2 linked regions of the Mytilus edulis genome follow. The protein of the gene in region 1 binds, or shares a complex with, the protein of each later gene. Links are inferred from orthologs where the notes say so. Each region holds a gene or a part of one and is shown on either strand. Other genes may lie near its edges. The genes, in order: eukaryotic translation initiation factor 3 subunit J-A-like and eukaryotic translation initiation factor 3 subunit L-like.

What was found.
Region 2: eukaryotic translation initiation factor 3 subunit J-A-like (region 1) and eukaryotic translation initiation factor 3 subunit L-like share a complex: the UniProt entries of both Drosophila melanogaster proteins name them as parts of the eukaryotic translation initiation factor 3 (eIF-3) complex. The link is inferred for Mytilus edulis from reciprocal best matches to the Drosophila melanogaster genes eIF3j and eIF3l.

What each region holds. Positions count from the first base shown.
Region 1 is NC_092347.1:85,255,610-85,272,181, forward strand, and holds the start of eukaryotic translation initiation factor 3 subunit J-A-like, read left to right. Parts: upstream 1-10,518; 5' UTR 10,519-10,577; coding exon 10,578-10,593; intron 10,594-10,684; coding exon 10,685-10,761; intron 10,762-11,290; coding exon 11,291-11,345; intron 11,346-13,143; coding exon 13,144-13,229; intron 13,230-13,985; coding exon 13,986-14,094; intron 14,095-16,523; coding exon 16,524-16,572. Other genes in the region: protein FAM221B-like, read right to left, coding at 5,454-5,650, 6,233-6,352, 6,738-6,941, 7,435-7,545, 7,794-7,934, 8,637-8,799, 9,218-9,265. UniProt on the Drosophila melanogaster protein: Component of the eukaryotic translation initiation factor 3 (eIF-3) complex, which is involved in protein synthesis of a specialized repertoire of mRNAs and, together with other initiation factors, stimulates binding of mRNA and methionyl-tRNAi to the 40S ribosome.
Region 2 is NC_092352.1:17,623,103-17,639,701, reverse strand, and holds the start of eukaryotic translation initiation factor 3 subunit L-like, read left to right. Parts: upstream 1-9,590; 5' UTR 9,591-9,651; coding exon 9,652-9,693; intron 9,694-11,516; coding exon 11,517-11,568; intron 11,569-11,928; coding exon 11,929-12,082; intron 12,083-12,690; coding exon 12,691-12,770; intron 12,771-16,335; coding exon 16,336-16,397; intron 16,398-16,599. Other genes in the region: uncharacterized protein, read right to left, coding at 1-2,107. UniProt on the Drosophila melanogaster protein: Component of the eukaryotic translation initiation factor 3 (eIF-3) complex, which is involved in protein synthesis of a specialized repertoire of mRNAs and, together with other initiation factors, stimulates binding of mRNA and methionyl-tRNAi to the 40S ribosome.

The sequences.
Region 1 (16,572 bases):
TACTGCATTGTTTTCCTATTTGCACAAAATTTTCCATAAAATTAAATATTATTAAATATAAGAGGAGAACAACAACACAACATTAAAATGTAACACACACAGAAACAAACTAAGCATTAGACAAAATCCGAAGAGAATAACATATATAACATCATAACTAAATACATGAATTTGGGATAGAAAAGTACTGTCCCACGTCTTATAGTAATGTGAATTCACACTCAAATATAAGAGAAAACAAACGACACAAAATAAACACAATGTTAAAATGTAACACACACAGAAACGAACTATAATATAACAATGGCCATATTCCTGACTTGGTACAGGACATTAAAAAAAAGAAAGAAAAAAATGGTGGTTTGAACCTGGTTTTGTGGCATGCCAAACCTCCCACTTTAATGGCAATTTTAACTATAACATTAAAATGACAACACAACATAACAGGACTACAATACAAATAAATATAACATTGTAAAAAAACTGCTACAGATTTGGAGAAAACAAATAGCCTTCTTCAGTGTCAAAATTATTGATAATTTATAATTATTTATTATAACAATATTACAATTATTTATTATAAGAATAAAAAAAAAACTAACAACGTAATAGCAAAAAAAGAAATAGGAAAACAGATAACAGTAGTATACAAGACACAACAGAAAACTAAAGACGATTTGAAGCAACACGAACCCCACCAAAATCTGGGGGTGATCTCAGGTGCTCTGGAAGGATAAGCAGATCCTGCTCCACATGTGGCACTCTTCATGTTGCTTATATCATTACAAACCCGGTAAATAGTCTTATTCGGTAGGTCAGTAACGGTCAACCAACTCGTAATGGCGTCTGTAAAATTTACGAAGGGATGATTTATTTTAATGTTCTCTATGGAACATTACTGCTAACATAACATGGTACAAACCAGGTAGCCCAAACCAACCAAAAATACACTGATGACTACATGAAACATGGTTCAAAACAGTAAGTCACAACCAACCAACCAATAATAAACCACTGCCTACATGCAACATGGTAAAAAATAGTAAGTCACAACTAACCAACCAATAATACACCACTGCCTACAACATGGTAAAACATCAAATCACAACCAACCAACTGTAAAATGGTAAAAACAGTAAGTAACAACCAACCAATCAATAATACACCACTGCTTACATGTAATATGGTACAAACTACTAAGTCACAACCAACAAAAAAATAACAACACTGCCTTCATGTATCTTGGTAGAAAACAGTAAGACACAATTAACGAAAAATACACCGCTGTCTACATGTAACATGGTGCAAAGCACCCATTCACAATTAACCAATAATACATTGCTGTCTACATGTAACATGGTTCAAAACAGTAGGTCACAACCAACCAATAATATACCACTGCCAATAAAACAAAACTACCTAAATGTAACATGGAAAAAAACAGTTAGTCACAATCAACAAACCAGGGAGTCACAACCAACCAATAATACACCACTGCCTACATGTAACATGGTACAAAACAGTAAGTCACAACCAACCAAAAATACACCATTGTCTAAAATTTACATGGTACAAAACAGTAAGTCACAACCAACCAATAATATAACACTGTCTACATGTAACGTTGAACAAAAAAACAGTCATAACCAACCCATAATACAAAACTGCCTACATGTTACAGGATACAAAACAGTAAATCTCAACCAACCAACCAATAATACATCATGGTCTACATGTAACAGGGTACAAAGCAGTAAGCCCCAACAAACCAATAATACACCACTGTCTACATGTAACATGGTAAAAAAGAGTTAGCAACAACCAACCAATAATACACAACTGCCTACATGTAGCATAGTACAAAACAGTAATTCACAACCAGCAAACTTATACACCACTGTCTACATGTAAAATGGAACAAAACAATCAGTCACAACCAACCAACTTATACACCACTATCTAAATGTAGCATGGAACAAAACAGTAGGTCACAATCAACCAACGTATACACCACTGCCTACATGTAACATGGAACAAAACAGTAAGTCACAACCAACTAATAATATACCACCGTCTACATGTAACATGGTACAAAACAAAAAGTCACAACCAATCAATAATACACCCCTGCCTACATGTTACAAAATAGTGAGTCACAACCAACCAGTAATACACCAATGCCTACATGTAACATGGTACAAAACAAAAAGTCACAACCAATCAATAATACACCCCTGCCTACATGTTACAAAACAGTGAGTCACAACCAACCAATAATACACCCCTGTCTACATGTTACAAAATAGTGAGTCACAACCAACCAATAATACACCCCTGTCTACATGTAACATGGTACAAAACAAAAAGTCACAACCAATCAATAATACACCCCTGCCTACATGTTACAAAACAGTAAGTCTCAACCAACCAATAATGCAACACTGTCTACATGTAACATGGTACAAAACAGTGAGTCACAACCAATCAATAATACACCCCTGTCTACATGTTACAAAATAGTGAGTCACAACCAACCACCAATACACCACTGTCTACATGTTACAAAACAGTAAGTCTCAACCAACCAATAATGCAACACTGTCTACATGTAACATGGTACAAAACAGTGAGTCACAACCAATCAATAATACACTACTGTCTACATGTAACATGATACATAACAGTAAGTCACAACCAACCAACAATACACCACTGTCTACATGTAACATGGTACAAAACAGTGAGTCACAACCAATCAATAATACACTACTGTCTACATGTAACATGATACATAACAGTAAGTCACAACCAACCAACAATACACCACTGTCTACATGTAACATGGTACAAAACAGTGAGTCACAACCAATCAATAATACACTACTGTCTACATGTAACATGATACATAACAGTAAGTCACAACCAACCAACAATACACCACTGTCTACATGTAACATGGTACAAAACAGTGAGTCACAACCAATCAATAATACACTACTGTCTACATGTAACATGATACATAACAGTAAGTCACAACCAACCAACAATACACCACTGTCTACATGTAACATGGTACAAAACAGTGAGTCACAACCAATCAATAATACACTACTGTCTACATGTAACATGATACATAACAGTAAGTCACAACCAACCAACAATACACCACTGTCTACATGTAACATGGTACAAAACAGTGAGTCACAACCAATCAATAATACACTACTGTCTACATGTAACATGATACATAACAGTAAGTCACAACCAACCAACAATACACCACTGTCTACATGTAACATGATACATAACAGTAAGTCACAACCAATCAATAATACACTACTGTCTACATGTAACATGATCCAAAACAGTAAGTCACAACTTACTTAATTGAAAGTGTCTAGCAAATTCTTCCTGTCAGCAGCAATACTAGAATTGTTAATTGTATAGTTTTTGGCAGATGCAATCTTTAAATTTCTATTAGATACATACATAGTGTAAAAATCTTGTGTTGACCTGAAATTTCTTACATCTACATCATTTGACCTCTTGACCTCTGGTGGATGGTTGTCTTATTGACAATCATACAACATCTCCTTATTTTTATGTGCATAACATTACTGGTAATCATGTCCTTATTATGAAAATATTAATACACTTAAGTTTGAATTAATTTTGGCTGATATGTAATAAGGGAGATAAGTGCTGTTTTCATCAATGATCATCATTTGTATTACTTGCTATATAACTGATTTCTCATAGCATGGTGCAAAATAGTAAACAACAACTACCATGGATTACACAAAGAGAATGGTGCAAAACAGTAAAAAAAAAACAATAATATACTTCTACATTGTAAATACAAGTAACATGATGTATAGCTGCGAAAACGTAGCTCTATTGTCCTTTTTTTTTTTTTTGCCATAGAGCTATGGTCCGCAAATATCAAAAATCATCAAAAGGACCTTAAGAGCTACGTTTTCGCAGCTACATGATGTAAAGAAAGAAAATAGATTAACAATATTTTTTTCAAAGATTTTAATAAAAAATGTAAATAACTACTTTAATAATAACAATGTAAAATCTGTATAAAGATAATAAAGCAGTGTTTTGCAGTGAATAAATATTATGTGTATTTAACACACAAGTTGCATGTGTAATGTTTCAAACTTTAAAAAAATGGAAGCTGAATTTTGACACTTTTCTGCATGAAACATTCCTGAGAGATAATGTTTAAAGTTTGAAAAAAACAACAGCACAATAAAAGGATCAGTTCTTTCAAAAATGTTGACTATTAAGGAAAAGACTTTAACCGGATATAATTTGTAAGATTATGATCTGTATAAAAATTCATCAAATCAGATTTTAATATAAAATCTCAGAATTGCACTTAAAAGATTTGACAGGGGAAATAATAGCATAGTAAACATAAAAAATTAATAAATAAAAAGCATGTGCATGAAATAAATGTATATACCTGACAAATATAATTGTCAAGTACTCAAAGATATATAGGTGCTCAATATACAACTACTTTAAAACAAGAAAGCTCTATAATGAGTTTAAAATATCACAGATTTGGCAAGACATCTATCACAGAATATAATATCACATTTAAACAACCTAAATGTCATGAACGAATTTAATTTTTAGGTATATGTTTTTCAGCCAGTTGAAGATTTATATTTAAAGATCATATTGTTATTTGTTATGTTATAAATGACATAAAATCAAACATTTTAGGATCTTCTGCAAAGAAACAGATTCAACAAGTAAACGAAGTATAATTATGGTCTTTTCAATTGTTTATATTATACTAAATAATATAGTTCAACTTATGGGTTGATAATCATTCTGTCTGGAAAAAATACAGATACTTAGAATTGTATAAACACAGAACCAAAAAAATAACAAGATTAGAGTTAACATTTGAAATAAAATAATAACATTAGATCAGATCCTTACATTCATGAACAATATAAAGATTACATAGACAATTTTCACCGACATTTTCTCAATTTTCTATAAACGATACAATACTTCAAGAGAAATAGTCAATATTTTATCTATAAACGATATAATACGTCAAGAGAAATAGTTAATATTTTATCAGCTTATGTTCACCTAGTTACCACTCAGGACCAATAGTTTTGTATTGTTCTGCAGACATCACAGACAAATCACTTTGTAGAAATCATTTTTTTCTATTGTGTTTCCCTAAGGAATAAATGATTTTAGTTCTTAAAATCATTATTTTTTTATAAGGATAACATTGAAAATTGTTACACTCCTTACTTTCTGTCTTCCCTCTCATTAAAAAGGAATTAATACTATTAGCAAGGTTTTGGTTTTAAACTTATATTATTTCCATAAATTTGTTCATTTTTGAGATTCAGCAGTTGCCTTCTACCTGTTACATAGGACAAAAAACAGTTTGCAATTAATCTTAATATAAATCAATCATAGACAGGTTTAAATCCACTTTTATTTCCGCCAAAGTTCACTGGTGTATCGTTTCCCATTGGTCTATTGGATTGTGGTATTGACCCTTCACCTTGGGTCAAGGCTAAATATTTAGAATCATCATTTTCATCTCCTGTCAGAGCTATATTTCTCAGATCTGGCATTTCAGCAAATGGTATATAGTCAGTTCCTGTAAATATATATAATCATAATTAATAGAAAGTGATAAAAAAGAACACTTTAGGCTCAGAATGATAAAAAATATGGTGTTTTTCATATTTACAGAATGGAATTCCATTCTATTAAAAAATAAATGGTATTTATTTTCTGTAAACTTAGTTATTTCATTGACTTTTTGTTCGTGACTAAGATTTTAGCAGACTGTTACAATGCATTTTTTCAGTTAGTATTAAACTAAAAAAAATCAGGTTAAACTTAAAAATATTGCAAAAACTCAACCTATTATGGTATATTTCAATACTATTATATGATATCGTTAATGTATTTATTGTGTGTCTTGCATGCAAATGTATAGTTATGTTATTATAAATGTATAATTATTATCCTAGTGTAGCAACATACATGTGCCTAAGTTGTAATAAATTGTTGTGTCTTGTCTTGAAATTTTTCATCTCGTATAAGAGGAGATCAAAGTTTGACACATTCAGTACAATTTATATTTGCATTATTTTTTCTAAATTCAAACATGGCTTAAATGAATTTCAACTGAAAATTAGTTGGTTTGCAGTTAGTCTCAAAATAGAATACTGACCAACAGGAAGCCCATCTTGTCTTCTGATATCTTCTGTTTCAAAGAAAGTGTCATGTCTCTCCCAATGGTTATCACAAGCAGCACACAGAAAGTTAGAATCAAAATGGCCACAAGAACATCCTGAAAAAGTAGTGTGCTTAAAATCTTATAAATATGACTATACTCATACTGCACAGTATAGTTGTTAAGAGGATATCATACTACACTAGAAAACAGACTTACCAGTATAACAATTGTATGGTTCGATAATTGCCACAATACAAAAAAATAGAAGTTCAGATGTATGGATGTACCATGAAAGATTTATATATAAAAAATGGAAGATGTGGTATGATTGCGAATGAGACAACTCTCCACTAGATAACTAGTGAAACAGAAGTTTGAATCATGAAAGATTTACCCATCTTCTCAACACATGCAGAGTTGTTCTTATCTTTATTAAGGTACATAAGAAAACCTAAATTACTTTTAGAATGTTAAATCCTCAGTCAGTATTGGAACAAACCTCTAGATCTACATCTTCTCATCCCTGTTGGTTCATGTTCTTCATGTGTGTGTTTACAACGACATTTAGCTCTCCATGTACTAGGATCAAAATCTCTTCTACGTTGATGCCAGAATTCGCCTACATCCTCAGGACGTGAAGGAATCCAAGCAAAACCTTTACACTTACACCCCCCTTGTCGACATGGTACCTGTACACTCTTTCCTAAAACATTAGAAGTAAAATAAAGAGTAAGAAGGTATGGTATACACGTAGGTCGCTGATGGTACAAACACAGGTCACTGTAATAATGTTTTATGCTAATGTAAATATGAACAGTAACAATGAAGTGCAAAAAGATCAAGTTCACTTTCGGCAAAATATGGCCTTGAATTTAAAGATTATAACTTTGTATGTTACAATGTGATGTAAGAAAAAAAAACCCATTCTTTCATTTTCAGGTTTTCTTAATTAAATAAATTTCAATATTTGATTATTTGCCATGCTCCAGGAAAATTTCATTTGTATATTCTTCAAATTAACAAATATAAGAAATTATTCACGAATAATGATACAGTTGTAGATATTTTGTACATAGATAATACTTTAGCTCAAGTGTTATATAATGCAAAATTAAAAAATAACATGAATTTGATCCTTCTGGTAACTTGAGTTTTCTATTTCAACTCTAATTGTAAATACATATTATACATCATACCTGTGTAATTTGCATGTCCATTTAACAGATGACCACAGAAACATTTGGAATAATCATTTACCCTTTGACAATCATGTTTAAACTCTGGACATCTCCATCCAATATAGATTCCTGAATTAAATCAAATTCAAAATTTTAAGGATTAAATGAATAAAACAAATTTTTTTTATTTTTTTTTATTTTTTATTTTTTTATAAAGTTTTTGCAGATCAAGCCACTACCTGCCTGCTTGAATGAAATTACCTATTTAAGTGACATTACTTAAAAGAACTATAATTCTAAATCAGATTCACCACAATGACCAAAAAAACCAAGAAATAATCCATAAAATAAAATAAGGGAGATAATTCTGATTTTACCTGTTTTCTGAGCAGTTAAGGCAGCTTCAACTTCTGGATCAAATAACTTCTTTAGTCTCGGAGCAAAATCTTGATTCATGGCTCTGGCAAATGATACAACATCATAGTTCTTGGCTGGTTCTATTTTTCTCATGGTATATCCTAGAAACAATCAAGAGTGATTGGTATTTAATAATAAATGTGAATTTGATGTAAATATGGTTTGTCATAAGCAAGTTTTCCCCAGAATTAATTAAGTCAATTAGGGGAGATAATTTCATAGTCACAGCTATATTCATAAAAGCCTCAATAATGTTTTTTTTAATAATTCTTTGTTACTAGTGGCATCTATTTCTTGAAATTTTTGGGTTGGTTTAATAGACTAACAAAGTATCAAAACAGAAACTTTGGTATGGATAACGTTGATAAGAAAGCTAGCTCAAATCTTAACAAATGATAAGTGTAAGCATATTTGATTTTAGATTTATTCAATTTAAATACATATACATTAGTTGGCATGAAAATATTATAAAAGTTGAATCGTCACTAAGACCAAAACGAGGACCCGGAAACAAGTTTCCAGCTTATATCATTCCTTTTCACTTATAACTGATTACACAAATATACCTACAAAATACACAGAAGTTTCAAAGCTATTTAATACTCTCTGACATCAAAGTTGGAGTATTATTATGATAGTTATATTTTCTTTGTCATTTCTCATATAAACATGGAGTCCAAATACTACTAAGCAATCAACAGATACTAAAAAGCAATGTTTATATCATCTAAATTTGTATTTCTTACCAGATATTGTTTATTTACAAGATACAATGTAAAATGATTTAAACAAACAAATTTTACCTTCAGGAACTAACATTCCATCTTGTTTTTTCATGGCAATAGGTTGCATGCCTCGTGGTAATACTGCTTTTCCTCTTCCTGAAGGAGCTCCCCTTCCTGCAGGAGAACCTCTACCTGAAGGAGCTCCCCTTCCTGCTGGAGAAGCTCTACCTGCACCTATTGTCTGTAATATAAGGACATCATGTCTTAAAAAGGGAGATAATATTAATATACATTTTAACACTGTCTAGTGTCTGGTATGAATAGTTTCAAAGTATTATAATTTCAAGTTTGTGCTTATGGTTTTTTTTTCTCAAATAATAATGCTCCTTAACATCAGTTAAACAATTTTAAGTATTGCTTTCCATAATTTAAGAATTTAAGGATTATTTATTCAAATTAATAAATTAATAATTCCTTTGATTTGTCCCAGATGCTCGATCTACTGCATCAAAACAATCTGCTTCCAAGTTCAATTGATCCATTAAATTCCATTTAAAAACATCAGGGCCAACAAATATTATTAAACTAGTAATTGGAAGTCATTAAATATCAGATAAAGACTTGCTGTGAAGTACTGAGTTTAACTTCATATGCATTACCTGTTTTGGCTTAGTACCAGTTGTTTTTGGGACTGGTTGTTTACTCATACTATACTTCTATTAATTACTGTAAAATAATACAACCTGAAAACAAATTTGACATATCAGATTAAATGTATGTGAATTACTCTAAACTAATACAACCTGAAAACAGATTTGACATATATCAGATTAAATGTATGTGAATTTCTGTAAACTAATACAACCTGAAAACAAATTTAAAATATCAGATTATATAAAACTGTGGACTGGTATTAAATTCCACTGAGTAATGGTGTACAGAAAAAATGAAAATTTATATGTATCTTTTTTGGTAGAAATGTGTCTGAAAGTGAAACGGTGCGGGTTTCTGATGGTATGAGGATAGCAGAATGGATTGCTACGATTTGGTGTACTATTTTGTAGAACATTATCAATCTTGTGCATAATCTTCTTTCCTGTAGTGTGGGCCAGTTTAGTGAGTTTATCATGTCTGTAGTACTACTGATGTTATGGTACCTGTTACAGACATATCTGGCAGCTCGTCTTTGGACCATCTCAATTTTAGAGGTTTGTTTAACTACTGTGTGAGGGTCCCATACTGAACATGAATATTCAAGCTTAGAACGAACCAGTGCCAGATATACCTGGGTTTTGATGTTCTGGCATGATGTTTTTAAATTTCTTTTTAAGATTTGTTACCATTAGCTATAATGTTGTCTGTATGTTTTGACCATTTTAAGTTTGCTTGTAGTGTAATGCCTCAATATTTACTTTAAAGTGTATAAGATTAATTCCCTGTTAGATATACTATAGTCAGGGTTACAAGTAACTAGTCCCTTACTATAAATTTAAAGTATGGCCAAAACGACTAAGGAGGAACCGGATCTATGGCCGAAACGTCTTGAGTCCATCCATTAAAATTTAATGAACCTGGACCATTTTTTTGTTATTGTTTTTCTGTAGATTCATTAACCAAATATACTGACAAGGGTAGCAATTATATAAACTTTATCGTAAAAGTGAAATGAAAATATGTCATACTCTTATTGATTCTGTATATGTTTTTAAACAGGAATAAATATTAAGCGACTTAGTCACTTCTTCAGTTTGTCATCCATTTGTAAACAAAGCAGTCACGCACCTTGGATATTCTGGTTTCCTGTCAGCGTGAAGTAATTTATCCTTTCAGAATTCTATTTTCGTGAAACCAGTTTAAAATAATTAAATAAATATTTTTCAAAATAATGTATTGAAATAATTTTAAGATTATACGAAAAATATCAAATAATATTGTAACTCATAAGAATTATTTTATTACCTCCAAAGAAATTGCATTCCCGCGCAAATAATTTCTATTTTTAGTTTCTAGAACTTCAAGATGTCTGACGCATGGGGTAAACATGTGGAGAACATATTTATGACTTACTAAGTTCTTAATTACAATTTTAAATGAATTTTATGATTTATTTATTTCATATTTTGTAGATGCCGATGATTTTGAGCCAGAAGTACCTGTGAAGACAACGGATCAGTGGGAAGGGGAGGATGAAGATGATGTCAAGGTTTATACGATTTTTTTTACCAAATTACATGGTTTTCTTCATTCTTTGTTTAGAAGACAATTAAACGTAGTCGTGATTTGGAATCTTAATTTAACATATTAAATCTATTGCTCATCATTACTGGATCCTTCCTGGATCAATCCTTTACACGTGACAGCTGTTTCATTTTGCCTATACTCGCTGTCAGCTGAAATTCGTAGCGGTTATCGGTTAAAATAATCTTAACTATCAATCGTGTTCACTTGAGATATAGTTTTTCACATTCCATTCATAAATCGCGAAAAGAAAAACCACCTACCTTTGAAGTGATCACACTGTAATAATCCTGGGATATTTTCTTAAGGGATTCTGATATATGATTAACCAGCTGTTCCTAATTAAATTTCAAATGTGACATATGAAATATTTAGAATGACAAATGGTTTCCTTTTGGGTGTTGGTCAGAAAAAAAATGACAATTAAAATGTTCTTATCTGGTAATTGTATAAGTTATAATGCGCTCAATACAAATTAAAACTTTTGTTTACAGGATAATTGGGAGGATGACGATGATGAAGAAAAGAAGACAGAAGAAAAAGATCAGGGTATGTTGATTTGTCCTATTAATAAAAATACACACTGTAGCCAATTTGAACTGCACTATGGTCATTTAAAAAAACGGGATAATGCATGCCTATGAGAAAATGAACTTAAAATTATTAAATTAAAGGATAAGGCCACACCAATTTAATCTTGTTCGACGGACCCGCCCGCTCCTATTTTTTTCAAAACAGATTTTTATTATTTTTATTATATTCTTGCTTCCTGCATCCGGAAATGTAATCATGTCCATTTCCCATACCGTTTTTTTTTTGTAAATATTATAAAAAGATCTCAACATTTGTTTTTAAAATCATAGTATAACCTTTATATAACGATTTTAAACCTATAAGCACCTCACGACACTAAATATCTGTGAGAATATTTGTTTCAAGCGGGAGTGCTCCGATATAAATATATAACAGTGGAAACACCTGTACAGAACAAAACATTGGTTTCTTTCCCCCAGACTTATATTCCCTATCAAAAAATGTTCGTAGTTAAAATAAAGTACAAAGAACTTCTGAAGGATTTGCCTTCAACTGCAATTATAATGTATGCTGACGGTCATACCTGCTGCAGGTTTGTGCACTGGTCCTGATTGATTCAGGGACCTGTCGTTCAGCAGTTATCGTTTGTTGGTGTGGTTCATTGGTATTTTCCCGTTTGGAAATATAAATTAGATCGTTGGTTTTCCTGTTCGAATTGTGTACAATACTAAGTTGTGGTCCCTTATACCTTGCTGTTTGGTCTGGATCAAATCTCTGTGTAAAAGGCCGTACTTTGACCTATGTTTGTTATTATCAGGTAATCCCTCAGACAAGGACCTTGAAGGGGTCATTTAACCATGTTTACTGTTGTAGAAAAGAAAACAGAAATACTAAAGATTTTTATAGTGCATCTATACAAAACTGTATAGTGCTACTATACAAAACCTTTGAAACTTTAGAATTTTTTTACTCAAAAAGAGGAGAAATACATTATATTTTAAACGACTTTTAAAAGAGAGGTCCACTTATTTTAAATAATATAAAACTGTTAAATTTTTGGACATGTTTTGACCATTTAATACCATATAGATATTATAGTTCTTTGGGAAAATATTACCCCTTTTGTACTCAAAGTGTTTTTACAAAATAAATATATTATAACTTATATTGACCCCTCATAAAAGGGATATTCATAACATTAAGGGGTTGTTCTGAACCTGATTATGACTTGGATGGAGAATTGTCTCATTGTCAGTCACACATACATAGACCAGATTTAATTATTCAATTATTTCTTGTTGAACAGGGAAAAAATACTTCATAAATTAAAGATATGTCAAGGTACAAGTGATAAATCAAGTTTTAATATAGTCAAAACCTACTATTTTATGTTTACAAAAAAAAATTATAATCGCTCGCCTTTACTTTTTAAGCTTCGCCTCAAAAATTTGCAAATTAAATATTTTTTTATTAAAATTTTCAAATTGCTCGCTCGCCCCAATTTTTGGAGTTCAAAAATCTGTAGAACAAGAAATTAAATTGGTGTGGCCTAACAGAAAAATATGGGATAGTACAAACCACCAATGCCTGACTGAAGAAAAAAATAGACAAATCAACACATGATCCAGTTCTTGTTACAAAATAGAACAAGTCTTATATGTGCATGAACCACAACCATCACATTGTTTTCCATCAAAAACCTTATCTAGAGATAGTGAACTAGATTGAATCTACAATAAGCACAGAAATGTGAAACCCCTGTAAAAAGCTAGGAAATTAGAATTTTTCTGATATAATACATCATTTCTTTCAGAAGGGAAGCCTTTTCAGAGAAAGAAAAAGAAATTAGCTGACAGAATAGCAGAAAAACAAGCTGCCAAACTTGCTGCAGAAGAAGCTGTAATTTTAACTTATTTCTCTTTATTTAATGGCCATTTATATATTGTTTGGCCAAATTGTAACAGTAAATTACAGTCTGGTTGATACTCTAAACAGTGTCTTCCAAGTTGCTTGATCAATAATTAGAACTTGTCACACATTTCAGAACTTTCTGATAGGTACCTACTACCTGTTAGCCCATACTTTAAATTTTAATATTGTTACTAACCTGTGTTTAGTTATAAAATCTCTGTAAGATACCTATTTCCTTTCTTCTGATAGTTTGAAATGCAATACATGGTAAGCATAGCACAATAACAGGTTTATTCTTATAACTTTTGCAATAGTAAAGACACATTTTCACTAAACATGACTAGAACAAAATATTGTATTGGCCTGCCAATTATTGCATCATATGGTCATTTGAAAAACAATTTCTTGTAAAAACTTTATATAGAAAGCTAGATATTGTGAAAAATGTATACCAAGATGTGGTTATGTTTTTTTTAGTTGATTAATGACCATTCAGCTGAAATAATTTTATACACCTTTTCTAAGTGTCTTGCTCAACACTATCAAAAAGGGTAGGCAGGCAAACCATTAACTGAAGAAATAGGATTTTTTTTTGGTATAAATCTAATAGTGTAAAGTTATAGATGAAAAATTTAAAATATTTTTAAGAAACTTCCGATTTCAGTTTCCTCAAACTTTCAAGTTTAAAATCAGTGTTAAATAATGCTTTGTAGTGATGATTTTATGGGTACATGTTAATTTCAGGAACAAGAAAAAAATAGGAAATTAACACCAGAAGAGGAAATTGCAGATAAATTGAAAAAGCAGCGATTACAAGAAGAATCAGATTTACAGTTAGCAAAAGAAGCTTTTGGTAATTATTTTAGAGGCTAGAAGGCTTCACGTCTAACAGATTATACGTTTTTTCTCAAATAAGTTGTTGTAGGTTAGAGTGTCTGACTTTGACAATTTAATCATTTTTGCTTTGTACTCAACAGGAGGGAACATCTTATTTGATAGAAAACAAATAACATTCAAGGCAATGTATGTAAAGAAAAGATATCCACTTTTCATCTTGTTGATCTCCCCGGAAAAAATATATGGCAGGAGCACATTGTCATGGCTTTGATATCTTTACCTCTTTAGGTTCTGAATCAAATGTTTACCAGATATTAACTTTCGCATGTCTTACTCAAACGGGAATGGTTGGACGATATTGGAAAGAGGAAGTTGTCTATAAATGGATTGAGATTAAGTTTGCTGTTAATACTAAAAATGAAAAGAAAGATTTCAGATGATTAATTGAGTTGCTATTGTTTGATTAACATGAAAGTTTTATACAAAAGCAAAGGGAAAGGAAGAACCTATTTATTTTCAGATCAGTAGGTCAAATGTCAATGTCATGGATGCTAAAATAGACAACATACAAGCTTACTGGTTATGTAATCAAATGTAAAAGTTTAAAAAATAAGACAATTCATGGTATGAAATTTCATCATAATCTTGATTTTTGGATAAAATCTGTACTTTGTCCCCCATAATTGGTTGGTTAGTGGAGGTCAATTGAAACCATTCTCCAATTTTAATACTTGCTTCAAAAAGGTGATATATGATGCATATGTTGGAAAATCCATCTGTGGTTTCCAGGTCATAATGAAAGTACCAGTTTGCTTATCTTAAAATTTTTAATATTGCTGTGGAAGATATAATACACATCAATTTAATAATTTGATTTTTTCAGTTTTGGTATTGACTGAAAATTTATTTTTATGTCAGTGTTGGAGGGCCGAGTGGTAATAGTTTTTCATCTATTGTGCTCATTTGCCTGTCAATACAGACTTTTTGTTGGGAGCTTGCTCTTGTCAAGGTGTGTTGACTTCAGGCTTATTTGACTAGGGTGACTAGTGTTCCTGCCAAAGACTATGGTTCTTGTTACCCTGGCTTCCTCCGTCAATATAAATTCATGGCCATCAAGTAGCTTGTGCTGAAAATTACGTTGATCAACAATCAGTTATGCAAGTTAAGGTATCTGTGGTCACTAGATTTATTAATAAAATTGAGAATGGAAATGGGGAATGTGTCAAAGAGACAACAACCCGACCAAATAAAAAACAACAGCAGAGGGTCACCAACAGGTCTTCAATGTAGCGAGAAATTCCCGCACCCGGAGGCGTCCTTCAGCTGGCCCCTAAACAAATATATACTAGTCCAGTGATAATGAACGCCATACTAATTTCCAAATTGTACACAAGAAACTAAAATTGAAATAATACAAGACTAACATAGGCCAGAGGCTCCTGACTTGGGACAGGCGCAAAAATGCGGCGGGGTTAAACATGTTTGTGAGATCTCAACCCTCCCCCTATACCTCTAACCAATGTAGTAAAGTAAACTCATAACAATATGCACATTAAAATTCAGTTCAAGAGAAATCCGAGTCTGATGTCAGAAGATGTAACCAAAGAAAATAAACAAAATGACAATAATACATAAATAACAACAGACTACTAGCACTTAACTGACATGCCAGCTCGAGACTTCAACTAAACTGACTGAAAGATTATGATTTCATCATATGAACATCAGGCACAATCCTTCCCGTTAGGGGTTTAGTATCATACCATCATAACATATATGAGAAGAACATAACCCGTGTCATGCCAACAACTGTTTTTAGAATAAATGTGTTTAGTTCCGATGCAAAGACCTTATCAGTGACTCAATATTAACGCCAAAATATGCAATCTTTAATGACTTGACAACAGTATCGTAATTATATCCCTTCTTAATAAGTCTATTCAAAGGTTTTGTAAGTTTCTGAGGTGAATACTGACACCTTTGTGCTTTATAAAGAATATTACCATAAAAAATTGGATGTGAAATACCTGAATGATTAGAAGTCTGCATGTTGAGCTATATTTACGAATGATGTCTTTATACCGATGGTAAAATTTAGTAAATGTTTTGACTAGTTTGTGATATCGAAAACCCTGGTGTAATAATTTTTCAGTAATACATAAATTTCTCTCGTTAAAATGGAAAACATTGTTACATACACGAGCGAATCGTACAAGTTGAGATATATAAACACCGTAAGATGGTGACAAGGGAACGTCACCATCTAAAAACGGATAATTAACGATAGGAAATGAAAAATCATCCCTTTTATCATAAATTTTAGTATTCAGCTTTCCATTAGTGATATAGATATCAAGATCGAGAAAAGGGCAGTGGTCATTGTTAGTTCAAACTATTCAAATTTCTAAATTCCATTTTTAATTGTGTGTATATTTTGCATTTTAGGTATTAATAAAGGTTCAGGTATAGATGGAATGTTCCCAGAAGATGAAGA
Region 2 (16,599 bases), on another chromosome or scaffold:
TGGGTATGCCAACTCTAGAAAATAAACTTATAAGAGCATTAGCGACTGTAGAAGCTTCTTGATCTTTTAAAGGAATTGCTTCTGGATATTTAGTGGAATAATCGACGCAAACAAGTACATAACGGTTTTTGTCATCAGTCATAGGCAAAGGGCCAACAAAATCAATAGCAATGCGCTGAAATGGCTCATCCATAGGTGGTATGCTAATCAATGGAGCACGTGGTACTCTACCCTTCGATGTACCTATCTGACAATCTGGACAAGACCTACAGTATTCGGCAATATCATTAAATATACCTGGCCAGAAAAAGTGCTGCATGATTCTGTCTCTTGTTTTCTTATTCCCAAGGTGACCTGCCAACGGAATATCATGTCCCAACGAAAGAACTGTTCCTCTCAACTTGCTTGGTAATACAATTTGCTGAATAACTTCACCACTTGGCTTAGTATACACTCTATATAGTAAATCTGAATTATATATAAAATAAGATGCTGGGTTATCATGCACATCACTTACATAAGATTTTACCTTATCCAAAGTCTCATCTGTCTTCTGTAACTCAATCAACTGCTTCCTATCACAAATCTTAAAATCATGGCATACGTCTGAAAAATCTATAGAATGAGATATAGGTATATCGCTACTACGCTGAACATTCGTCTGATCAATCATAATATCTGCTTCATCCTGCTTCTTCTTTCGAGATCGAGTCTCAACTGCATGACATGGGACTGAGTCACCTGAAACAAAAATATCTTCTCCACTAGTCACTGATAAACCATCGACACTATGTGGTACTGATGTGTTCACATAGTTTCCAACAATCAGATCTGCAAACGGTGTATCTAAGATCAATGCAATAATATCACCTGAAATATAAGGAGTAGAAATATTAATACATACTTCTGGACACTGCTTCACTGAACCATCTGCTAAACATATGTCTCTAGTCTGACCTGTAAGACAATCTGGGTTAGTAAACCTACTATGAACAAATACAGTAGAACAACCTGTATCTCTCAAAACTGAGATTTTATCACTATCGATCTTACCTTCTACTATATCAAGTCCATGTACCTGTACCTTGTCGCCATTACATGAAACACCAGGCAACTTAACAGTCACACCACTAATATAATCATCTACTCTATACTCCTGTCTACTCTGTATGCACAAACCAAACTTACCTGGCTTAAAATTATCCTCCTTTGACCGGTTCGTCCTTGTAGGACAGTGCGTAGCTATATGACCAATGTTCTTACAAATAAAACAAGTCCTAGTGTCAGGTTGTCTTCCTTTTGATTGGTTATATCTACCTTGTTGTTTAGATTGGTCGGTGTCAATTCTCCCAACTGATTTAGAACTTACCTGTTCATCTTTATGTGCTTGCTGAAAAGCCTCAGCTTTGTCTACCAACTCATCAATTGTTTTCGGTTTCTGTTCCTTGATCCAAAGTTTGAGCTCTTTATTACAACTTACCATTAACTGTTCTCTAGTAACTAAATCAACAAATCTATCAAAATCAGTGCCTATCAACTCACGCTCCAACCAATGTCTAAGAAAACCTACTAGTCTGACTGAAAATTCCTTAAATGACTCATCCGAAGACTGGCGTTCACTTCTGAACTTCTCCCTGTATGCCTCGGCAGTAAGCTCGTATCTACATAAAATAGCAGATTTAATTTTATCATAATTTTTACTGTCCTCTTCAGACAATCTAGAAAATGCCTCTAAAGCTTTCCCACAAAGTAAAGGGACTAATCTAAGGGCCCACTCAGACTTGGGTATTTTATGCAAAACCACCAATTTCTCAAAGGACCTTAAAAATACATCTGGGTCTTCACCTTCCTTAAATTTAGGAAGTTTCGACTTCAAACTTGAATGTGTCTGTGGTGGTGCAACACCTTGAGCCATTTCTTTCTCTCTAAGCTCTAACTCTTTTAAACGTACCTCTTTTTCCATCTCTATCTTTCTCATCTCTCTCTCTTCCATTCTAGCTTCTCTCTCAGTAGACTGCATGTTTTTCAACATTTCTAAACATGTCTCCAAAGTTTCACCCTTCTCTAACATCTCCGGAACCCAAGCGGGTAATACACTTCCTGCCATACTGTACAATACAAATAATAATAAAATGATAATGTAAACAAATAATAAAACATAAAAGTTCAAACAAAATATATAACAAAAAAAAAATCCCTGTTGTCTATCTGACAATATTTTCTAATATAACAATTGGCACAGTGACAATCCCACCGCTGCCACCATTGTAACGAAGTAAGTTCTTTGGGAATTGTCAGGTGGCCAATGTCATACAAAACCAAATTAAAATATAAATTTAATTAACAAAACAAAATAAAGTAAATTCAACAAAAAATGTAATATGAAATGAGAACACAAATGTAACTAAATAAACACACACGGAACAAAACAAAATGTCATGAAATAAACATAAATCAAACAAATTTCGGCCTGCACACTTTCCGCACACTGCCCGGATACGTTCCTCGTTGTACGTACTGTAGATGTAAATGATGAACTGGGTTGTTCCCCTTTAAATTTCTCTTTATAATTAAACGGACGAATTAACTAATTTTCACATATATCTGGTTGCTTCTAAATTGATTGAAGAGAACACTAAATTTGTATGAATAACTATAATGCTGAATAACAAACTATAACTGCTTTAAACTGCATAAATACTGCACGGACTTCTCGATTTCTCAACTAAAAATGTATATAATTTTACGGACTTTTTGCTCCAAATAAATAGAAACGGACTATAAATTTATCACCGCCTCCATGCGTTGTAACTCCAACCAATATATCACCGAGTTGTTACCATTTTTAACCCCGACACCATTAATTCATCGACACCATTATCTCCGACCAGTCGACAATTAGCAACGTGCCAACGCACACTAAAACCGGGCCTAAAAACCCCTGCAAAATAATAATTGAACCCAAAAATTACTTACGTTATCTATAAATATGAATAATATGGCAATTATCCGTACATTTGGACCGCGAGCAAGAAATATCATCTCGACAGCAAATTGACCTCAATGTACCATAAAATATAAGTAAAATAACTTACCTGAGTGTTGTTTCAATTAGCCTTTGGACATCCATGTCCTGTCCTGACAATTATAATGTCCAAATTGCTATCTAAACCACAAACCCAACTGCACAAACGTGTGCTACTCTCAATGATCATGTGCCGACTGATTTGAGACTCACCTGTTAAATTTCAATAGGTGCGTAATCACGTGATAAACAAGGTCTGCTTGACTAGATTACCGGTGTTAGTGAAAATAAGAGATAACATAAAATATAGTCCTAGGTGTAAAATAAATCATATAAATAATTAACTGAAGTTTGTTACATTGATATTCACCCCATATGTACCAAGTGTAATTTAAGTTTTATTGATATTAAAGAAATTTCTTGGTATTCCTAAACGAAAGATTTTATACACACAAACGATCAAGTATACGTAATGACAAAGCTATTTTCATGTACCTGTGTAGGATATGACGCAGCTTTTTTCAAAAGTGATGAGTTTCTATAAATTGTTCAATATTTCACAGTGGTATCTTACTTTGACTTTGTTTAAACCTGTTTATTTACTTTTGACCTCAATTATTTATCCCTTATAAATTATATTAACTATGAATTTGCATTCACGTATCGAAGATCAAATTTTATATTCGTTCATTGTGTGTTAATTTGCGTTTTTTGATTGAGTTAAGCCTTCCAATTGATATTTTATAGTGTGTTTTTCTGTGTTGTGATGTTATACTATTGTTTCAGAAAAGGGAGAAGGTTTAGTACCATTAAAACGTTTAATCCCGCTGCAAATGTTTGCACCTGTCCTAAGTCATGAATCTGATGTACAGTAGTTGTCGTTTGTTTATGTAGTTCATACGTGTTTCTCGTTTTTATATAGATTATACCGTTGGTTTTCCCGTTTGAATGGTTTTCAGCGGCATTACACATTTTGGGGGCCCTTTATAGCTTGCTGTTCGGGGTGAGCCAAGGCTCCGTGTTGAAGACCGTACCTTGACCTATAATGGTTTACTTTTATAAATTGTTATTTGGATGGAGTGTTGTCTCATTGGCACTTATACCACATCTTCCTATATCTAGCTATGGATTCGTGTCTAGTCAGGCAGAAATTCCCGAATTTCTGAGCATGTTTCACTCAATCTTCTTGTTGAAATGACAGTTTGAAAAGGTCTCTAGAAATACAATGTATCCTGGAAACTACTGAATTAACTTTCCTTAACCAAGTAGAAAATCTACTTTAAATATAATCTTTTATCCTGCATTGACAGGTCAAAGGTCAATAACAACACAATGATCATGGAAATGCCAGACTAGAAATGTTATATAAAAAAACAGCAGCGCCTACATACGGATTATCATCCAGCGCTTGCATTTTGCCAACATGATTTCCTTGATAGAGGGTTGCCATTTACCAGGTTTAATCCACCGTTGTCTACATAAGAAAATGCCTGTACTAAGTCAGGAATTTGCCAGTTGTTATCCATTCGTTTGATCAGTTTGAGCTTTTGATATTGCCATTTGATTAGGGACTTTCTTTTTGAATTTTGGGATTTTACTTTTTACTAGGAAGCAATAAACCAAGATTTTAAAGTTGTGAAGTTTTAATTATCCCTTTAAAAAAATTACGGACGCAATTACAAGTTGATTGGCTGTTTTTTTTTGTATATTTGTTTCACAGATGATTATTGACCTGTTAAATTTGTCGTTACCACAATCCCTTTCTCTTGTCATCGAATACGACATACCAAATTAGATATATATAACTATATATACTAACATGAATAACAGTGCCAAATGTGGAGAATAATCAGTTAAACCTTCCAGAACAACTGAGATCACCTCTAGTTTTGTTTAATGGGGTTCGTGTTGCTCTTGCTTTATGTTTAAGTGTTGTCCTGACTGTATATATATCCTTATTGATGTCTATAAGTAGCTTTTGGTTGCCTTTAGATAATCAGGAAGTATGGTGAGAATCCAGTTGACGTGTGACGTATACAATCAGAAGCATGGACAAGACCTTCAACATGTGACTTCCAACCTTTCGTCTGAACATTTTCTAAGGTACCTAACATGCCAACTTTCCAAGTAGTATATATGTTATCTACTAATTATAAGTATACGTCGCTGTCTTCCGAACATCAAAAAGTGTGGTGAAAATCCAGTTGACGGATGACGTGTACAGTTGTTAGCATGGACAAAACCTTCATCATGTGACTTCCAATCTTTCTTCTGAATGTTTTCTGTACACTACCAAGCTTTACGAGTATTTATTTTGGTAACTTTCAGTGATGTCCATTTGATGAGACGGTGTTGTTCGTGACTTCGTCATACTAGTGATGTTGCATATTTCCTTGGTAATTTTAGAACCAAAGTTTGCACCTTGAAGTGGTCTCATTAAATATTATATATTTATATATACAGTTTAATTGCAAGGTATTCAATACACACTAACTCAAGGGGTTATGTCGTCTCGATGTTGATTAGAAGCGCTCTGTGACTTGTAGCCTGCTACCGGCGAACACATCTGTCGCAGTGCAAGATCTAGTTTTCAATATTTAGATCCATGCTGTCACTGTTTTTGTAGTTACATTTTTGGTGTGTATTGGAATGCTGCTGTTGTTTCTTTACTGAAACAATATTCACGATGCAGCTATATTTAAGTCAGATGGTATTGCCGCTCTATCAGTTGACTATAGAAATCCAAACTGGATGATATGGTAGTTCTTTGATAACTATTAGCATGTCGAAATGTCTTATTGCAATGTTTATTTGTGTATTTCTTTGTCCTGAATGTTCTTGCATTTATTTGTACTGTAGTCCTGTCATATAATGCTGTCATTGTAATGTTATATTTAGCATTGCCATAAAAGCGCGAGGTTTGGCTACCCGCAAAACCAGGTTCAACCCACCATTTTTTCTTAAAATGTCCTGTACCAGCTCAGGAAAATGGCCATTTTTATACTATAGTTCGTTTCTGTGTGTGTTAATTTTAGTGATGTGTTTCTGTTGTGTCGTAGTTCTCTTATATTTGATGTGATTCCCTCAGTTTTAGTTTGCAACCCGGATTTGTTTTTTTCTCAATCGATTTATGGATTTTGAACAGCGGTATACTACTGTTGCCTTTATTCAAGGTCCATGTATCTCTGTATAACAACATCTTTGTTAGGTGTTAGATACACAACTATAAGCGACTGACATGGCTATCGTCCCGCGGAAATCTACTAGCTCCAATACAAAAGAGACTTAACTTGCGGACCGCGAAATAATAACAACCAATCAGATACAACGATTCAAGTAAATGTATAGTGGATATTCATAGAACAATAGAGTGAACACCCGAAATAAAGGTTTACAAGTAAAAATTTAAACTCATAGATTCAATATTCAAAATATGAATGCATTCATGTAAGTATATATAAAAATAAATGATTATTACAATATATCAAATTATAAACATAAAAATAACTCTGCTACATATATCCATATATATATATGGATATAGATAAATTGCCTTGATAGGCAGCATAAACATGGACATAAAAAGCTTTGATTTGATTCGGCAAAGCAAAAAAACCACACATAATCTTTGATGAACACTTTACGGAAATAAAAACTTATACACAAGATATGAAATAAGGCAACGTAGCACCAAGGAATTGTATATTTAAATATACAATTCCTTGGTAGCATGTAATATATAAAACAGCTAAATAATTCCATGCAGCAAAAAAAAATCACATTTCTTGTAATGATGATTAGATGTTGAAACCATTTTAGTCCGTATCAAGGATTTGTATAGTAAGAAATATGGTAAAGAAGTTAAAAAAGAAATCTATGAAAATATATTTTTTAGAACGCTGTTCTGGGGGATCAAAAAGTGCTGATTTTTGGGAAAACTGTCAAACCTTTCTTTTCAAAAAAATGCCAATCCCAAGGGCAAAAGACTATTTTATTTGAAGAAAACAAAATTATAAATAATTCAAAAGATGTAATACTATCAGATATTTTTAATAAATTTGTTGCCACTGTTGCTGAGAAGATAGAAAATGATGTTATATATGATCCATTAAACAATCATAGCATAAATGCCATACATGAACAAAATCACTTGAAAACAGATGCAAATTTTAAATTTCAAAAGGTGACATCAGAAAAAGTGGAAAAAATCATAAATAAAGTTAATGTCAAAAAAGCAACTGGAGCAGATGAGATATCAGCAAAAATAGTTAAAGCAAGTAAATCTGTCGTTGCACCTCAGCTGACCAGTCTTATAAATTTGACTGTGGACACGGGCATATTTTCAGACAAACTTAAAGAAACCCAAGTTACACCCTTACATAAAAAGAGCGACCCACTACTGAAATCAAATTACAGACCAGTCAGTGTGTTACCTATTTTTTCAAAATTTTACGAAAAGATATTTGAAATACAGTTATACGATTTCTTTGATTCCATTTTTAATCCTTATCTATGTGCTTTCCGTAGAGGACATGGATGTCAGACTACGTTGCTCAGATTACTGGAAGACTGGCGTAAAGCCTTAGACAAAAACTTATATAAAGCTGCAGTTCTTATGGATTTATCAAAAGCTTTTGACTGCTTACCTCATGACATTTTACTAGATAAATTACTAGCATATAGTGTTTCTCCACATTCAGTATCTTTATCAAAATCATATCTTTCTTTTAGAAAACAGCAAATTAAAGTAAACGGTGTTCTGAGTAGCTGGGCTGACATCCAAAAAGGTGTACCCTAAGGTTCTATATTGGGCCCCTTTTATTTAATATCTTCAAAAATGATATATACTTTTTTGTTAAACATAGTACATTATATAATTATGCGGACGACAATACTCTGTCTTTTAGTAGTCCGGATTATGACCATCTCATATCCATATTAGAATCTGAACTCAAGTGCTTATTGATTGGTTTAAAGAAAATAAGATGCAGGCAAATCCTGATAAATTTCAAGTTATTGCTGTAGGGAAAAGAACCTTTGCAAAAAATCCATCTATACAAATTCAGCAAAATCTTTTTTATCATGTGAAGAAACAGTAAAGTTACTTGGAATTGATATTGATTACCAACTAAAATTTGATGCACATATAGTAACTTGTGTAGAAAGGCATCACAACAGCTGAATGTTCTCAAGAGAATTGGATCATTTTTAAACAGATTAAATAAACTTACATTTTTTCATACTTTTATTTTGAGTAATTTTAATTTTTGCCCTTTGGCTTGGCATTTTTGTACAGAGAAAAATTCTAAAAAAGTTGAAAAAATATAAAAGAGAGCATTAAGATTTGTATATGACGACTAATTATCATCCTCTGAAACTCTTCTTGAGAACGCAAAGGTTCCAACCCTACAAGTAAGACGCATCAGGACAATGGCACGTGAGACTTATAAAATTTTAAATAATTTGGCTCCTGTATGTTTACAAAATTTACTCCAAATTAAACACACTAAATATTCTTTTAGATACAATGATATTTGGAAATACCACAGGTAAGAACTACCTCATATGGAAAAAAAATCTTTCAGTTTTGCTGCTGCTTCTTTATGGAATAGCTTACCAGAACATTTCAGGACTGTTAACAACTTCTCACATTTTAAGAGTCTTGTTCAGTCCTGGAGTGGAACAGAATGTTTTTGCTCTGCCTGTAGATAATTTGTGTTACAATATTTATGCTTTCTATGCTGCATTAACAGCTTGCATTGCAACTGAAATGTTGTTTTTTACATTTTAAAATTTGAAAGATTTGAAATTTTTACTTTATAAATCATAATTTTTTTTTTAAATAATTTTTAAACTGCAAATTTAAAAAAAAAATAGTGCTTCATATATATGTTTTGGTATTTTGCAACATACATGTACATTTGTATATGCTATTTGCTTAGAGTTAATTTTTTGTGCTGCTTTTTATTATTTATTGCATGCTGCATGCCTTGTTTTATTTGTTATTGCATATGTTTTTTATATTCGGTGAAAAGCTCATTAGAGCTTATGTTTGTATTGTTTGTCAATATGCCGAATCCAAATAAAGTTTTACTTACTTACTTACTTCTTACTACACAAATCCTTGACAAATCATTGTCCGTATAAATAAGATATAGGGGGGATAGGACCTTTATCGGGACTCCGGGATCGGGTGTTTTTAAGCTCGGGATTTCGGGATTGACCCTTTCGGGATCCGGGAATCCTTTTTTTCGGATTTCGGGATGTCGGGATTTGCTTTATTTAAATTCGGGACCTCGGGATTTCGTTTTTTCAAGTCCGGGATTTCGGGATCAAGACCCCTCCTATCCCCCCTCAGATATGTATTAGTCCCAGATTTCATGGAATGAAAATTTTCTCCACTACTGTAACTTTAAATATTTGATTTTAAACTGAGTATTATATTTTCTTATACATTACTAGAAGTTTGTGTGTAGGAATTTAACCTAACATTATGTTCGACTAATAGTATTAAAAGTACGAGTTGGAAAAGATACGAGTTGTCCCCCTACTCCGATGTCCGACTTTGTTTTCTTTTTCTTTTCGTTCTTCTAGGGCAGACAACTCTATCGGAGATTTTTTCCAACATGTGGAGTGACGAACCACCAGCATCTTTTGCTCCTCCTGAAGTAAATATGAATGTTTTTAATATGAACTTTTGTATATAGAATCTACACAAGTCGTTTGTATATGTTATATGTTTTTCAATGGCATTCCTGATTCGATCAATACATGATAATCCATCATATTGTTGAACTCATTGCCAGACCAGTTGACAGCCCGGCTTCTCTATAAATCTATAAATAGACTCGATCTGTTGACCAGAAGATAATCCATTATTTGTTCCAGCTTAAACTAGTGATTTCCATTTATTGGTTTTTAGAGTATTTTATTATTTTTATTCATCCCAAACATGAGAAATTGACATTGTATATCCTCACAAAGGATTACAGACACTTGTCTCCGAAAAAAAATTACCTACAGTACATTTATATACATTTGTACATGTACTTTATATAACACAAGGTACCCAAATCATTTTTGAGAAATGAAACTTGATCAAGAACTTTCATTTTATTTTGCTTCTGTGGTTGTCCATCCCCCTTAAACTTGATATATGTATATCGTAAATCTACATTAATTACCTTCAAAATGCTGCCTAACACACCAATATCTGATGTCATAATCATTCATAGCTAGCTTTCCAAGTTGGGCTAACAGTAAATTCTATCATCCTATCACTGAAAAAGTGCACTAATAAGGTTCATCTGGACCATTTTGCTGAAATGGCTGTGTTTTAAAATCAAAATTTCTTCTACAATTACAAACGTCCATAGACTACCTCTATACACATAAGACTAATAAAAACCAAACTGAAGTTCAAATTGAATACCCACACGATAGTGCCATGTGCTGATTTTAATTTCACATTATGATACATAATATCATGTCGACAAAATATAGTCAGTAATTTATAAATACTACTGAAATTAAAACATTAAATATAACATCAAATAAATTCACCTAAGCAAGATAAAAAAAAATAACTGGGAAACACGTCTAATCGAGTCGGCCCTGTCGTACTGAATGGCTATATCCCATGAAGCGCAGCAATACAAATAACGGTCTATGGGCAGACAACTAGAAGAAATTAAAATCTAATTCAGTTCCTTCAAATACATGTAGTTGAAATTACATTTACTCTCAAGTACAGACTAAATGACTAAGAAAAGTTTTAAGGCATTGTAAGTTTGATTAAAATGGATTTTATGCTTTAGAAAATTTTAAAGATAACTATTTTTTGCAATGCACTTTTTTTCGTCCCTGCAGAAGATGATAAAATTAATAATAAACACCTGAGTTTCATTTGGTATGGTCCACTCAGGTTCACAGTTTATATCGCCAATTATTGTCAAGTACTGTATCTTTCCCCCCTCTATTGCCCATGGCAATCAATACAGTTCACTTCAATTATTACTTGTGAGGGAAGTTCTTAAACCTCTTTCTGAACTTTGTTAACAGTCATGACAGTGGCACCTTCTGGAGAAATGAAAAGAGTGCAGTGCAAAATCCAGTTAACTTAACTGTTTTTAATTTTCTAAAAAATGAAACACAAATGTACATCTGAATTTTATTTATCTAGAGTATATTAGGCCTTCAAAAAAATCCAGATACTCAGATATGTCGGCACCCAAAATAAATTTTAAGGTGAAAAGGCAGCCATTTTAGCCAAAGGGTCCACATGAATCTTGCTGTCTTGTAAAGTAAAGTAATCTTTATTTAATGTTGGGTTGCATATATACATAATAACAAGGAACATAAGATAAGCTCTTTTAAGAGCTCTTTAACCAACTGATATTAAACAAAACATTCATGTCTATACAATGCATAATTTAATTTAAAACTGATTATTTATTGGAGTGATTACTCAAAAAATTTCTTTTTATTTCAGTATTATCCAGCATATCCTCAACCAGGTGCCACTGATTATGATGCACACACAGGTATGTTACTATGTTAAACATGTTAAATAGGATTTCTACATTAAGTGTCCCCCATGTGTGATCATTTAATAATTAAACTATATTTAAAAGATTCTTAAACTTTGGTGACTGATATCACTATGGTAAATAAAATTGTACTCATGTCTTGAAGATCAGTCAAAATAAAGAATTTTATATATTTATTGCACTAACATTGATGAACATTTGTCCTAGCAGTAAGTAATGTTGGATGAGCTTGAAAGTGTTCTATGATTTACTGTGAGGTACACTATTCCTCTATGTTAGTGCAATTTTTTTTACCAAATTTTTTTCTAATTAAGGTAAATGATTTGACAGAACAATGTTATATTTTTTATAAAGGTGATCCACGCCAAGATTTGGAATATGAAAGACAGTATGCCCAACAGACGTCCTCGTATATAGTACCAGATGTCATCAAGAATTTCCTTATGGTATTCCAGAAGGCTATAAATGACCAGAATCTATATGAAATTCAAAATGCATATGAAAATGGGTATGTCTCTTACATGTCTTACTGCATATAAACCATGCAGGTGTTAAGCCAAATTCTAGCTTCTTTCTCAACATGTTCAATTTCAATTCTATTTTTAAAAAGATGTAATTTATCAGTTCAGGTGATGAAATGAAATTAATTCATCTTAAACAAATGTAAATATAAGGTAAATATTGATTTGGTACTTTGCAATTGTTTAAGTAGATGGACTTTTATCACCATTATGTACACCAATTATCAAAGCTATCCTGCAGTTTATCGCTTAATTTGCCAAGTTAATACTGTACTTATATGAGGGATGTAAAGGGGGGGTATTTGCACGGAAGAAAGAACAATTTAAAATTTCTTGCACATTGATCTTTTTACCAATTTCACGAAACACAGTGAATAAAGAACTTTTTTCACGGCTGCACATGAAATAAAAATGGCAAAACATGTTGCACGAAAATAACCCTTAACCACCCTCTTATGTCTAGGAACAGTTCATAAGGCCAAACAGCTATGTGCTTATTCCTGCCCAAAGCTTATTTTGAGTGCTAACCATCATTAAAGTTTTACACAAAAGAATCTTCTTAATATACAACTGATTTGATTTATGTACAATTTAGATTCAACAAGCTGACAGACAGATTCTTCAAGACAACTCCTTGGCCAGAATCAGAAATAATTGCTCCCATAGTGCAAAATGGTAAAGATTTGTAGAAATAAACTGTATGATGTTGTTTTTAGTATGCTTGGTAAATCATGTATGCTTATCCAGTGCAATTAAAGATGTTATGATTCATGAATGTCAATAACAAAACGTTTTTTTTAAATACATTAGACAGTGTTGGTGGATTCATTGGCAAACAGAAGTTTATATTTTTCATTCCTTTGTTGTTAAACTCTTATGCAGAATAAGAACCTTGTTAGAAATAACATATCTTTGAGCTTGATACATCACATTGAAAAATATGTGTGAATGTTTAAAGAACTCCTTATTTACATTTCAAACGTAACAATTGTATATAAAAAAAAAATTAACAACCAAGAAAACATACAATTTAAAATGTTAGTCTACAGCAGTATAAAATTCTTGTCAAAATCGTACAAAGGAGTAGGTCCAGTGAGACCCCTTTTTGGCCCCAAAATATAGCAGTTTTACAAAATTGTTAAAATGTAAACTTTTAGTTATTTATTGGACAATAGAATACTTCTGCTACATAAATATGGGCTGTTTTTTGAAAATACAATGCACATATATCGGGCACTAGCACCATTAAGTCATGCTAAGTTACTGAAATCTTCACAATTCTAGTATTTTAGTTAAATTTTAGATGGTTTTCGTGTAAAACGAAAGTGGCGGCATTCGTGTTCATCCTTAATATTGAAATATAAGTTTTATTTGATGATAATACATAACATATATAAAGGTTGAGGATGAACACAGATGCGGCCACTTTCATTTTTGACAAAAAAACATCTGAAAAGTGACATTTTTCGGCATATTTGGTAGCTTTTTCATATTTAAGCTTGAATCAGATCGTTTTCAATGACTAAATCAGTTAAAATCTTTCACCTAAACTAATTGATTCAAATGAAATAGACACTTAAGTGTTTTAAAAGTGGTGAAAATCTTTCGTCAGATGAAACTGAGATTTGAGGCCAAATTCGGTCCTTTCATTTACAGTGAACAAGCACTACAGAATATACCATAAAATTGAGAATGGAAATGGGGAATGTGTCAAAGAGACAACAACCCGACCAAATAAAAAACAACAGCAAAGGGTCACCAACAGGTCTCCAATGTAGCGAGAAATTCCCGCACCCGGAGGCGTCCTTCAGCTGGCCCCTAAACAAATATATACTAGTCCAGTGATAATGAACGCCATACTAATTTCCAAATTGTACACAAGAAACTAAAATTAAAATAATACAAGACTAACAAAGGCCAGAGGCTCCTGACTTGGGACAGGCGCAAAAATGCGGCGGGGTTAAACATGTTTGTGAGATCTCAACCCTCCCCCTATACCTCTAACCAATGTAGTAAAGTAAACGCATAACAATACGCACATTAAAATTCAGTTCAAGAGAAATCCGAGTCTGATGTCAGAAGATGTAACCAAAGAAAATAAACAAAATGACAATAATACATAAATAACAACAGACTACTAGCAGTTAACTGACATGCCAGCTCCAGACTTCAATTAAACTGACTGAAAGATTATGATTTCATCATATGAACATCAGGCACAATCCTTCCCGTTAGGGGTTTAGTATCATACCATCATAACATATATGAGAAGAACATAACCCGTGTCATGCCAACAACTGTTTTTAAAAAAATAATGTGTTTAGTTCCGATGCAAAGACCTTATCAGTGACTCAATATTAACGCCAAAATATGCAATCTTTAATGACTTGACAACAGTATCGTAATTATATCCCTTCTTAATAAATCTATTCAAAGGTTTTGTAAGTTTCTGAGGTGAATACTGACACCTTTGTGCTTTATAAAGAATATTACCATAAAAAATTGGATGTGAAATACCTGAACGTATTAGAAGTCTGCATGTTGAGCTATATTTACGAATGATGTCTTTATACCGATGATAAAATTTAGTAAATGTTTTGACTAGTTTGTGATATCGAAAACCCTGGTGTAATAATTTTTCAGTAATACATAAATTTCTCTCGTTAAAATCTAAAACATTGTTATATACACGAGCGAATCGTACAAGTTGAGATATATAAACACCGTAAGATGGTGACAAGGGAACGTCACCATCTAAAAACAGATAATTAACGATAGGAAATGAAAAATCATCCCTTTTATCATAAATTTTAGTATTCAGCTTTCCATTAGTGATATAGATATCAAGATCGAGAAAAGGGCAGTGGTCATTGTTAGTATTAGCTTTATTTAAAGTAAGTTCAACAGGATAAATTTCATTAATATACATACTGAAGTCGTCATTATTGAGAGCCAAAATATCATCCAAATATCTGAAAGTATTATTAAATTTGTTTATCAGATGTTGTTTCGATGGGTCTTTGCTTATTTTTGTCATAAATTGTAACTCATAACAATACAAAAACAGGTCCGCAATAAGTGGTGCACAGTTAGTCCCCATTGGAATTCCGATAATCTGACGATATACGGAATCCCCAAAGCGAACAAAAATGTTATCTAGTAAAAATTCAAGGGCATATATAGTATCAAAGCATGTCCAATTAACATAGTTTTTTTGTTTATTGCTACTAAAAAATGACCTAAAAGAGTTTGAACATATATATTCACATTCTGATTTTTTGAATGCCCATTTAATTAGGTGTGTGAATTGTTTCTTAATGAGAATGTGAGGCAATGTGGTATACAGGGTAGAAAAATCAAAACTTTGAACAGATTCAAAATCACCAATATAAGCATGCAATTTATCAAGTACTTCCAACGAGTTCTTGACACTCCAAAAGTAATTTATTCCACTATTTTCAAAGGCCTTATTTGAACAATTTATTATCAGGTTTTTAATTGTACCAAGTGTGCTGGTAAGAAGAATAGACAATTTAGTAGTTGAACAATGGCTTGAAGACGAAATAAATCTATATTTGTAAGGGGTTTTGTGTAGCTTCGGAAGCCAATACATAGTTGGAACTTTCATTGTATTTGGCTCTGCTTGTAAAGCGGTGGCTAAAAGTTTATGTTTGTTACAGATTTCGTTTTCTGAAAATGGAGTCAGTTGGAATGTTGGTGAATTGGTGATTTCCTTTTTCAGAACCTCAATGTAAAATTTACGTCAAACAATAATAATATTATTAGCAGCTTTATCTGCCGGGACAAAAACAAATTCCTTGGCTAGTTCTTTTAGTTTATGTTTGATACAAGAAATAGGTTTATTGTGGTTATTGTTTATAGTAAAATGTTCTTTAAAATGTTGAATACGTATATCAACTATCTTCATTACTGAATTAAAAAAACAGTCCAAAGATTTTTTGTCAGCTTTTTCCCGTTTTATCCATTTCATACAGTAAGTATGGAGTGAGTCGTGGATGATATTACGACACTCATTCCAATTAATAATTGACGGGGGACGATATTTAGGTCCTTTACTGAGGAATGATTTTAACTCTCGGTCTTGAACGATGTTAAGATCTCCTGTTATAACAACATACAATTTATTAGATATAAGCTGCATAGAACTACAAAGAAATTATTTCAGCCCAATCACCTCTTGTAATGTATGTCAGTATTTAGAGAAACCTTCCTTTTTCAGACCACACATTTCTGGTATTGTACAAAGAACTGTATTACAGACATATATATGCCAGAGTACAAGTAAGTGTAACTTGTGCCAAATTTCACCCATCATGTAACCTGCTTTACATCATCCTATAAATTATTCTTTTTCTGTTTGTAACCATAGCTATATAATTATATTAACTTTGTTTTATGTTTTCTACATATTCATAGTTTAACAAATAACATGGAAAGATTTTAAGACAGTATCTGAGCTAAGTGAGATTACCTGAAATAGATT